3 linked regions of the Cricetulus griseus genome follow. The protein of the gene in region 1 interacts with the protein of each later gene in a pairwise test. Links are inferred from orthologs where the notes say so. Each region holds a gene or a part of one and is shown in the gene's direction. Other genes may lie near its edges.

Region 1 (3,741 bases):
GCACACCACACACAAGTGTTGGTTGTGTGTTCCCTGTTTCCACATTGGTTCCATGAACTGAACTGTAGCTACAAAGAGCGCAATGCTCTTGCTTCCCGGGATCTGTGGAGCCCTGAGGACACAGGGGCAAGTCCTCTGAGCTGTGAATGGGGGGGTCTACCCCATGGCTCTTCCAGCTGCCAGTCTTGGCGTACAAGGTTCCTTCTGAGGAGTGTGGGGTTAGCAGAACCGCTCTCTTTAAGCTGTGCGTGGATGCAAAGCAACGATCACACACACACACACACACCACACACACACACACACACACACACACACACACACACAGGTGGCCACTGCTTGATAAAATAAATGAACCTAGACAAGCCAGGCTAACCGAGGGCCTCCATCTGTCTTTCAGTGAAGCCACGAGCGGACCGGCGGCCAGTACGTAGCCACTGCCCAGACATCATGGTCAGTGGGTGGCGGAACAGCTCGGCAGACAGCACCCAAGGGCCAGATCCCAGGGCAGACACCTCAGGCGCTCAGTCCTCAAAGGGGCACCACCCGCGGATCCCCGCGCCTACCCGACTCCAGAATCTGGATTCTTAGGCGCCGCACAGGCTGGAGCTGGCCCCGGAATCGCGGGTCTTCAGATGGTACGGCCCGTACTCCCCGCCAGAGCCGCAGATAGACGGTTCCAACCGGCAGGGCAAACCTCTCCAGACGCGGAGGCGGGCGCAGAGGGGGGCGTGGCCGACGGCGACCTGAGCCCCGCCTCCGTTGCATAGTCATGAAGATGGTAAGCTCTGCCTCTGGGGCGGGGCGGGCCGCTACCCGCGGTGGGGCTGGGGCCGTTGGGTGGGGCCTGGCTGAAGGAGCGCGGCGGGGCGGGACCGGTCTCTGCCCCGCCCCACCCGCGCCCGCCCGCCCCTGCCTCGCCCCGCCCGCCGCGCCCCGCCCTCCGCCCGCCGCCGCGCTGGGCGGGGGCGGGGCCCGGGGCCTGCAGGCCCCGCCCCCGAGGTGCATATTGATGCGGCGCGCGTCGGCGTCGCCCTCCTCCCATTGAGCGAGGCTGTGTCGCGTGGCCCAGCGTCGGCGTGACGGTTGGACGCGGGCGCGGCACTGCGGGTCCCGATTGCTGCAGCCGCTTGTCAGTGTGATGAAGATTGGCACCCAGGTAAGCTGTCACTCAACCGCTCCGCCGCCGCCGCCGCGCCGCCGCCGCGCCGCGCGCCGCCCTCGCCGCCGCCGCCGTCCCTATCAATCACACCGGCCGAGGCCGCCGCTGCCGCCGCCGCCGCCGCCGCCTCCGCCGCCGCTCTTCCGCCCGGCCGGCGGGCGGCGGTGGTCGGGCGGGCGTGCCCGGGGCCGCACTTGACCCGCGCCCCCGGGCGGGGGCGGGGGAGGGAGCGCCGCTGGGGAGGGGGCGCCGCGGCGGGCCGCTGCGCGGGGCGCGCCCGGCTGGTTTTCCTGTGTGAGTGTGTGTGTGAGTGAGTGTGAGTGTGTTGTGGGGGGGGGATTTCAGGGGCGCGGAAATTTCTGGAAGGCGGCCGGGCGGGCCTCGGCGCTGGGCCTGCTCGAGGCGCGCGCCTAACCGTCGCTCACGGAGCGCGCGCGCGCGGCGCGGCGGGGCGCGGGGCCGGCGGGGGCGCGCGAGGCCGAGGCCGGGGGCGGCGAGGCAGGAAGATGGCGGCGGGGTCCGCGGCCCCTCCGGGGCGGCCCGAGCCCGCGTGGGGCTTCCCGCGGGAGTCCGCGGGCGGTGACAGCGCGTCGCGCGTGTCCGCGGCCCACCGGGAGTAGCGTCTTGGGGAGCGCTCGGCCCGCTGTCGCTGCCCCGCGTGTTGCTGCGAAGGGAAGCGGTGCCGAGGACTGAGGAGGACGGAGCCCGCCGGCCCCGGGGCTCCCTCCGGGCTCCTCCGGGCTCCTCCGGCCGCGGCCTGGCGGGCGCGGTGGGTCCCGCCACGCCACCCGGGAGCGCGGGCCGCGGGGCCCAAGTGTGAGCGCCCGCCTGGGATTCGGGAGAGCCGAGCTACCTAGGTGTCGGCCTCGCCCGCGGGAGCTTCTTGCAGAAGTGACTGTTTTTGTGTTTTTGTTTTGTTTTGTTTTTTTTTGTTTTGTTTTAGATGTGGGTGCTTTCCACTAAAGGATGGAAGAGCCCGCCCCTAAAGCAGGCCTCCTGTCATGGCATTAGAAAAATGAGCTCTCTCTCTAAAGGCTCTCGGAGGAAGGATTTGGCTGAGGCGGGGATGCGATGCTAGCTAGCTAGCTAGCACACTTGGGTTGCTCAGGTGGGGTCCAGGTGATGCAGGAGTCAGCAGGCCCCTCTCAGACCGGGGCCTGTGCGGCTGGAGCATCCCGCTGCAGTAAGATCCACCATTGTGTGAGGTGCCGCCAAAAGCCTGGCAAACTTTGTCACCAGGGGCACCAGCGGGAGTGCAGGCACCTTAAGAGAGGTCCGCGTGCTTCAGAATTGAGAAAGCATGGCTGGAAGGATGGCTCGTTCCCCGCAGTCTCTGATGCAGGCTGCCGCAGGTTTACGTTTTAGTTCCGTTTCTTTGGTCTTGTAGCCTAACTTTAGGAAAGTCCTTATTGTGAATTGTGGAAACAAAGTCACTATAGGAGTAGTAACATTCAGTTACAAGCTTGATTTTGATCGGTTATTGTTAAAGCTAGAACTGTCAAGAGGGGAAAAAAAAATTGCCAAAGTTCAAAGTGTGGATCCAGGAGCTGTAACTTTCCCAGGGTCAAACAGAGAACCAGCCGTGTTGAAATAGCTATCAAAAGTATCGCCCCAAAGTGGAGAGAGTCTCCTTTCAGCCCTGGATTAACTCACTGTGTAGCCAGGCTGAGCAGAGCCTCCAACTCCTTTGGGAATGAGGCGAGGTTTCTGTGACAACTCAGAGGCTTTGTGGACATATAACCACACTGGCCATTCTAGATCTCCTGATCATACTGTCTGCCTTCCTCCTCGAAGAGCTGGAGCATTCCTGGGAGCTACCGCAGATATTTTTGGTTTTGTTTTTGAAAGTTTCAGATACTTAGTTTAAAAGGTCCTCATTAGAAACCCATGTACATTCAACTATCTTTGTTAGGAATATGGATGGATGTCCGCCCTGCACCCCCCCCCCCACACACACACTGCTGTTTGGTGGTGGAGGTGACAAGTAATTCAAGTAATGGAATGGGGACTTGATGTCCTGATATAGTGGTGTGGCCTCATACTGGTTGAGGGTAAAAGTTTTTGGCGGATTCGCCGTGTTGAATCAGTGTGTCCTAAGTTCTGTTCGGATCTTGTATAAAGTGAAGTACGCTTCATATAGAAAACGTTGATGGTGGAGACCGATAGAATGAACACAGTCTGGGCCGGACGGTCATTTGGTGCAAAGCATCCTCAGGCCTGTCCACAAAGGCAAAGTGTTACATGACCAAGAGGATGCTAGGTACCTAGCCTGCTGCAGCCCCTTGTTCATTTTGTCAGCTTTTGTTTCTGGGAATTTTCTGCAAAAGGCATTCAGTGTGGTGGCTGGCCTGTGGTTGAAAAGTTCTGTTTCTGTGGTGGTCTGTGGTTCCTAGGACTGCCTTGGGAGCATGGGAAAAGGGTGGAGCAGCTTCTAATTCCAAGTATTTCCAGGGAGGTGTGGGGTTGAGGAAGAACAGCTGTAGTATATTCAGAATCTTGAAAACCACTAGGTAGAGCTCTTGCTGTACACAGCCCTGAAGTGGATTCGGAACATCCCTACCCCAGATGATTTTATTGTCTTG
Region 2 (3,741 bases), about 29 Mb from region 1:
ACAGGGGGCAAGTACCCTAACCTTGAAAACGAGCAAGGTAGGGTGGACACGACTCCCCAAGACCGTTCAAGAGTCTCTATCCTGAGCTGTCAAGCTACTCAACGGGGTGTGAGGACTGAGGCCTGCCCCTCCTGCCTAGCAAGAAAAAGGGGAAAGATTAAGACAACCGCCCAGCACTGGCACCCCAAGCCCCAAGGCCGAGGAGCCCAGAGGCCCTGAAGCGAACCTCAGCCCCACCCACACACCCTGCTGCTGCTGCTGCTGAGTCTGCCCGATGTGTTGGTTGTGTGAATAAACTTAATTCCCCTCTGCACTGAAGACTGGTATCTGGGGGTGGGTGGCTGGGTGTGCAAGGTGGGTCGGTGAGGCCTGGGGCAGCCGCTCTCCGCGAGCTGGCCGGAGGCCAAGTCCCCTCCCTGGCTGGTTAATTACTGGCTCATTAAGCAGCGGCTGGAGACCTCCCTAATCATCCCCCCAGCCCCCAGTCTCCCGGTTTTAATTAAGTCGAACAGGGAGGGGAGTCATTAGAACAAGAAATATGAACCGAGCCGTCGGAGAGCATTCCAGCGGCCGGAGTCCGCGCCACCCCGACGGTGGGCTCGGAACCCGGGTGGCCCACGCCGCCCCCGGCCCCGCCCCGCCCCGCCCGGCTCCGCCCCGCCTGGCTCGGCTCGCACGCTCGCACGCTCGCGCCGCCGCCCGCCCCGGGGCCAGCCTGGCCTCTCCCGCCCGGGCCGCCCGGCCGCTCCCCGCCTCCACCCGCCGCCGCCGCCGCCGCCGCCGGCCGCCCGCCGCCCGGCCTGCGTGTCCCCGCCCCCGGCTCCTCCCCGTTCCTCCCCTCCTCCCCTCCTCTTCCTCCCGCTCCCCTCCCCCAGCCGCCTCCCTCGCTCCCCCTGCTCCCTCCTCCCTCCTCTCGCACACACACCCCCGCTTGGGCCTCCTCTCTCTCTCTCTCTCCGGCTCCATTTTCTCCGCCGCCGGGGGCCGGGGTCTCCTGTGGGGGTGCCCAGGCGGCACCCCAGGCCTCCCCTCCAGCGCCGGGGTGAACCCCCGGAGGGAGCCGGGAGGCGGGTTGCCGGGCGGGGTTGGGGCGGAGGGAGCAGCGGCCCCGGCGAGTTTGGGGGGGAAGTCGCCGGCGGCGGGAGGGGCGAGCAGGGAGGGGGCCTCAGGGCCCCCCCCAGCGATGGACGAGCGGCTGCTGGGGCCGCCCCCTCCGGGCGGGGGCCGGGGGGGCCTGGGGCTGGTGGGTGGGGAGCCCGGGGGCCCTGGCGAGCCTCCCGGTGCCGGAGACCCCGGTGGGGGAGGTGGGGGGGTCCCGGGAGGCCGAGGGAAGCAAGACATCGGGGACATTCTGCAACAGATAATGACCATCACCGACCAGAGCCTGGACGAGGCCCAGGCCAAGTGAGTGCCCCCACCCCGGGACCCCGCTCACAGCGCTGGGTCCGCTGCAAGCCCCCTCCCCCAGGGCCCGCTCTCGACCCGGCAACTCTTTCTTTCCTTAGTTCTAGTGGTCTCTCCAAGCCGGCTTTGCTCCTAGGCCCTAAACCTCACACAGGGAACCCTAGCTGGCCTCACTCTCTCCTAACCTCTTGCTGACCCCTACACTCCACACCGGCCCCTCTCCTGGCTCCCAGACTCAGAAACTGTCAGCCCACCCGTCTGCGCTAACTATCCAGCTAGCCCACCGCCCCTTTCTCTGGGGATCCAGGGTCTCCACACACTCCCTTCCACCGCGGTTGGGGCCTCCAGAAGTCTTCACAGCCTTTCCCTCTGCCTGGCTCACACACTCTCCTGAACTCCCGGGTCGGGGGGCACCCCACACTGGGCCCCCGGCCACCCTGTACTGACTGTTCCATCTCGGCCTCTATTTCCCTGACTCCAAAACCTGCCCCGTCACCTTTATTTCTTCAGCCATCTCTCGATCCTCTCTCCACCTTTTTGCTTGAACCGTTTCCCTTGGCCTCAGCCCGCCCATAGTGACTTTAGCCCCATTGCCTGCATCTTCTGCCTCCCCTGGCCAGCCGCTTCCAGGAGCTAGGGCAGCTGGTCTCTCCTCAGGAACTACCCCTCCAGCCGCGTCCCACCCCCATCCAACTTCCCACCTCCACAGATTTTATGCCCCCACCTTGTCCCCTGGCAGCCTCTCCTCTCCTGGCCCCTGAACTCTTCTCCTCCCTTTCCTCCCAAGGAAACACGCCCTAAACTGTCACCGAATGAAGCCTGCTCTGTTCAGTGTCCTGTGTGAAATCAAGGAGAAAACCGGTACGTGGGCGCCCCTCTGGCTCTCACCTCTGGGGACTGCACTCTGCTCGCTGAGGGCTCAGAGTTTGACGCCGCCGTGAGGAAAGTGAGACCCGGGGAGGCTGCTCGGAAAGGAGAGGGGACGGAACCGAAGCCTGGAGGCCTGGGCCTTCGAGGGACTCTCGAAGCCCGGAACGCTGGGTGAGGGGATCTGGGGGCCTCACGTGTCCGCTTGCCTCCCGCTAGGCCTTAGCATCCGGAGCTCCCAGGAGGAGGAGCCCGTGGACCCGCAGCTGATGCGCTTGGACAACATGCTCCTGGCAGAAGGTGTGGCTGGACCAGAGAAGGGGGGCGGCTCTGCAGCCGCAGCCGCAGCGGCCGCCGCCTCCGGAGGTGGCGTGTCCCCTGACAACTCCATCGAACACTCGGACTACCGAAGCAAGCTCGCCCAGATCCGACACATCTACCACTCGGAGCTGGAGAAGTACGAGCAGGTGAGGAGAGGAGGCCCCCTGAGCCAGAGACGTGCACTCTGGAGGCCGCCCCAAGCCACAGGCCCCTCACCGGCCCACCCGCCCCTGCAGGCATGCAATGAGTTCACGACCCACGTCATGAACCTGCTGAGGGAGCAGAGCCGCACTCGCCCCGTGGCCCCCAAGGAGATGGAGCGCATGGTCAGCATCATACATCGCAAATTCAGTGCCATCCAGATGCAGCTGAAGCAGAGCACCTGCGAGGCCGTCATGATCCTGCGTTCTCGCTTCCTGGACGCCAGGTGGGGCTCAGGGACCCCTGAGCCCGGCCCCAGCACCCGGCTGCCTCCCATACCTCTCCAGGGCTGCGGGGCTCCCATGTTGCCCGACGGGGACACGCTATGACGACGGTGCTTCCCGGACTCCCGTGGCGCACTCATCTCTCCTCTCTCTTTGTAGACGGAAACGCCGCAACTTCAGCAAACAGGCCACCGAGGTCCTGAATGAGTACTTCTACTCCCACCTGAGTAACCCTTATCCCAGTGAGGAGGCCAAAGAGGAGCTCGCCAAGAAGTGTGGCATCACCGTCTCTCAGGTACTCTGCTGGGGGCGGGCGCGGGGCGGCGAGTAACGGGCTGAGAGTTCTCGGGTGTTCTTGGGGAGGGGGTCCTGGAGAAAGGGGTTCTGCCTGACCCTCTCTGCCCAACACTGCAGGTTTCCAACTGGTTTGGTAACAAACGAATTCGCTACAAGAAAAATATCGGGAAGTTCCAAGAGGAGGCAAATATCTATGCTGTGAAGACCGCTGTGTCAGTCGCCCAGGGGGGCCACAGCCGCACCAGCTCCCCAACGCCCCCTTCCTCTGCGGGTGAGCCCCCTGCCATTCCAGCTGGTTGATTTGATGCAGACAGCAAGGAGGACTTTTGGGGGTGATGAGGGCAAGGGAAGGGGCCCTTAGTGGGTGGTCAGGGGAGGTTCCGAGCAGCCTGACCTGAGGGTGGGACACTTCTCCACGTGCACTCAG
Region 3 (3,741 bases), on another chromosome or scaffold:
GATCATAGGCTACCACTCTAACCGGTCACTCTTTGAGGGACAGCGCAGGGTCCCAGACCTGGCTCCAACTCCTAGCACTGCCTTCTGGGTTACTATGGCGACCGCGGGAGGGGCGGGGCTTTGGGATCCTCTTTCCCGGTCTCAGCTCAGGACTTTCGAACGCTCCAATTGGGACAACCCTTTCTTGACTCTGTCCCGCCTCGTTCGGCGTTGAAAGCAAAACGATTGGTCCCGGGCTCGCGGCCTTGTGCCCAGAGGGTACCACCTCTTGACAGGAAGAGCGGGAAAGTGTACCAGGCACTGTCCGAGGCGTGAAGCTCACCTCACGCAATGGGTGACCACGCGGTTGGCTTTGGGGAGACTATCCCGGCCCCCATATACCACCTCCGGATCCCTAGCTGTTAATGATAGGAAAGGAGTAGAAGCCGGGAGGCCCCACTTTGCCGGTCGGGGCTGTCCATCTGCGGAGCGCGGGCGCGACGAGGCATGGGATTCCCGGGCGCGCTCTCTCGCGCCCCACTACCGAGGCCAGAGGGGACGGTCCCAGCCTCGGGGGCGGGGCCTGTGGCGGCGGCGGGAGGTGCAAGGACCAATGAGCGCAGACCCCGCCCCGGAGGCGGGGCATCCGGAGCGCTCCCCCGCCCTCTCGCTGGCCCCCGCCCCTCCCCCCGGCCCTGGCGCCGCAGTGAGTGAGTGGCACTGGCAGCCTGTCAATCCCTCAGCCGAGCGGCCTTCGAGCCCCGGTCCGCGGCGGCTGCTGGCTGGGTGCGCGCTCCCGGAGGTCGGCGGCGACTTCTCCCGCCTCATCCATCTGCTGTCCCCGGCGTGCGCCCGCCGGGCCCTCCATCGGGCTCCGCGCCCCCCGCCGCGTCGACGGCCGCCCCCAAACTTCCTCCTCCGCCCCTCGTCGCCCCGCGGCCCGCCCGTCGGCCTCCTCCCTCCTTCGTCGCCGCCGCGCCGCCGCCGCTCCCTCCCCGGGGCCGGCCGGTGCTCGATCCCGCCAGCTTGAGGCGGCGGCGGGCCGCTGAGGGGAGGGGACCGTCAGGCTGGCGCGGGCCGCGGCGGCGGCGGCCGCGGCGTCCCGACAACTCGGCTAGCGCTGAGGACCAAGTTCGCGGGGCCCGCCCGGCGCGGCGCGGGCGCTGAGGAGGCGGCGCGGCGGCCGCGTGAGGGCAGCGGGCACCGCCGCCCGCCTCCGCCTCGGCCAGTTGCCGCGCGAGCGCGCCGCTTTCCGCCCGCCGCTGTCCTCAGTCTCCGCCGCGGCGGAAGCCGGAGCCGGACGCCGGTCCGCGTCCCCCTCGGTCGCGGCCTCGCCGGGCCGGCCGCCCTCCCCCGCGGGCGGGAGCGCGCGGCCGCCTCCCCTCCCCCTCCCCCTCTTTCTTCTCCTCCCTCGCCACCGCCGCCGCCGCCGCCGCCGCCTCAGCCTTCGCCTCCGCCGCCCGCTCCCGCCCGCGCGCGGCGGGATGGATGATCAATCCAGGATGCTGCAGACTCTGGCCGGGGTGAACCTCGCCGGCCACTCGGTCCAGGGGGGCATGGCTCTGCCGCCTCCCCCTCACGGCCACGAAGGGGCGGACGGCGACGGCAGGAAGCAGGACATCGGCGACATCCTCCACCAGATCATGACCATCACCGACCAGAGCTTGGACGAGGCGCAAGCAAAGTTGGTGTCGTCTCATTAAGCATCTTTTGTGTGTGTACGGGAGCCGGGCTCGGGTCCCGGGTGGCTCCCTGGACCGGGGCCTCAGTGGCGGGCGGGAACTTTCTCCGCCTGCCAGGGCGGGCCTGCCGGGCACTCGCGGTGCCCCCATCGAGCGGGCAAAGTTGCTCTCCGGGCTCGGGACAGCCTCAGTCGGTGCTTCGTCCGTGCCCTGCTGCCCGGCCCCCTCCTCGGATTTAAACCTCCCGCCCGGACTCGTTGCGCTCTGCGTCCCAGCCAGCCCCGGGCCATGCCGCAGAGAAGTGCAACTTTCTCTGCCGGCCCAGACTCACGGCGTCCACTCCCCTCGGCCGGGCCCGGGGTGACCCGCGGCTTCCCCGCAGGTCCGGGTGCGGAGCGCCAAGTTCTCTCTAGGAGGGAGGGCAGCTTTGCAAACTTTGCGGAGCTGTCATCCGCAGATTATCTGGCGGCGGCCGGCCTCCGCGCCCGCTCCCCTGCGGAGCTCTGGCGTGGGGTTCCCCTCCGTGCCGCCCCGGTCCCCGGGGTCCCCGCCGCGATCCCTGGAGCGGAGCCCCCAGCACGGGTCGTCCCTGCGTTCGCCGAGGCTGATGTGTCGGCCCAGCATATGGGTCGCGCTGCTTTTGGGCTGGAGTTCTCACCGCTAGAGCTTGCCTCCAGTCGCGAACTAGTCAACTTGAGTTTTTGTTGACTTCCCGCGGTTCCAAAGAGCTTTTCCACCCCGGGGCCCAGTTTTAAATCTTTGGTCTAACTTAGGAAGTCGCCATATTATTCCAATAGGTGATGCTAACACCTTTGTGTTTTGCTATTTGTTTTTTAGGAAACATGCTCTGAACTGTCACAGAATGAAACCGGCGCTCTTCAGCGTCTTGTGTGAGATCAAAGAGAAAACAGGTAAGACTGCTGCCAGCAGTGGGCCTGGAGATCCCCCTTCCCCCCAGGTGGGGTTAGATCTACTCGTTGGACTCACCAGTTGAGAGCTGCTGCTTTTGGGCACCGCCATCTTTGATCATTCTCTGCTTCCCACCTCCTGATCTTGAGAAAAAAACTGCAATAAATCTGGAGTCTATTTCTCAATTCTGCTTTGATGCAAAATGAAGTATATGTGTGAAAGGGGCTGGTTCGCAGTTCTTTAGGCGGCAGCCCCTGACTGAAGTCAGGGAGGGGGCTCTAGTCAGCCGCCCTCTATTTCTTTTTGCCTTGTTTGTGTAGCAGTTTTTAAAGGGAGCAATGGGAGACTTCCAGGGACCAGGTGCCCGTGAGAGGCATCACCAGAACTTTGTTTTACTTAGACAGCCTTAAGCTTTGGTTCTAGTGGTAGAAGATACAGCAGAACAGACCTCAGTATTATGTCAGTTTTAGGTGGGGAAGATTACTTTTAAGAATTCAGGAAGGAAAATGATGTGCTTAGGCGTATACAATGTATCATACTAATGAGTACTTATATAAAATTGTCTATCTTGCAACTGTTAACAGTTGTAACTGAGTTTCAATATATAAAGAAAAATGTCCACAGATACAGATGAAACAATTTTGATGTTCAAGGCAGGAGTAGATGAGATGATAGGTTTTGCAGACATGCTAGCATGAAAATTGCAGATACATGATTAGGGAAATTTTTGGCAGTTCATTTTGGTTTAATTTTCTTGTCAGATTTTTTCTATTAAAGGTATTTTTACTTTTGACTTAATGGTAAAGCTAAAGTAGAAGTAGGGATATAATTCACATGTGTTAGTTTGTGTTTAGTTATCTTTCCTATATGGCAAGAAACTCCCTTAATTAAGCTTTACCATTAATTTATTTATTGTTGTATGTGTTGGGTGTATCACTTTTTAAAGTTGTTCTTTTGTAAGTTAAGGGAAAGAAGAAAATGTCAAGTCCAGTATATCGCATTTTCCAACTGATGTTGTTTTAATAGTTAAATGTTTGACTTTTTAAATTGAGTTTACAAATAATTGCAAACTGTCTAGAATTGTTAGGCTGGTAGTTGAGTTATACTCTGTTTAAATAGGTACTATTCATATTCCTAAAAGTAATGCAGAGAAGATAATTATTAGTAAATC

Evidence for each region.
Region 2: the proteins of Pknox1 (region 1) and Pbx2 interact in binary tests that used the Homo sapiens proteins (3 or more experiments, as listed by UniProt). The link is inferred for Cricetulus griseus from reciprocal best matches to the Homo sapiens genes PKNOX1 and PBX2.
Region 3: the proteins of Pknox1 (region 1) and Pbx3 interact in a two-hybrid assay, tested with the Homo sapiens proteins (2 studies listed by BioGRID and IntAct). The link is inferred for Cricetulus griseus from reciprocal best matches to the Homo sapiens genes PKNOX1 and PBX3.

Annotation. Positions count from the first base shown.
Region 1 is NW_023276806.1:259,896,894-259,900,634, forward strand, and holds the start of Pknox1 (homeobox protein PKNOX1), read left to right. Parts: upstream 1-1,001; 5' UTR 1,002-1,156; intron 1,157-2,108; exon of another isoform or gene 2,109-3,741. UniProt on the Homo sapiens protein: Activates transcription in the presence of PBX1A and HOXA1.
Region 2 is NW_023276806.1:231,203,869-231,207,609, forward strand, and holds the start of Pbx2 (pre-B-cell leukemia transcription factor 2), read left to right. Parts: upstream 1-873; 5' UTR 874-1,183; coding exon 1,184-1,404; intron 1,405-2,191; coding exon 2,192-2,265; intron 2,266-2,490; coding exon 2,491-2,738; intron 2,739-2,828; coding exon 2,829-3,019; intron 3,020-3,176; coding exon 3,177-3,312; intron 3,313-3,431; coding exon 3,432-3,585; intron 3,586-3,741. UniProt on the Homo sapiens protein: Transcriptional activator that binds the sequence 5'-ATCAATCAA-3'. Activates transcription of PF4 in complex with MEIS1.
Region 3 is NC_048599.1:146,090,178-146,093,918, reverse strand, and holds the start of Pbx3 (pre-B-cell leukemia transcription factor 3), read left to right. Parts: upstream 1-1,370; 5' UTR 1,371-1,463; coding exon 1,464-1,663; intron 1,664-1,902; exon of another isoform or gene 1,903-2,043; intron 2,044-2,498; coding exon 2,499-2,572; intron 2,573-3,741. Other genes in the region: basic proline-rich protein-like, read left to right, coding at 487-689, 723-1,146. UniProt on the Homo sapiens protein: Transcriptional activator that binds the sequence 5'-ATCAATCAA-3'.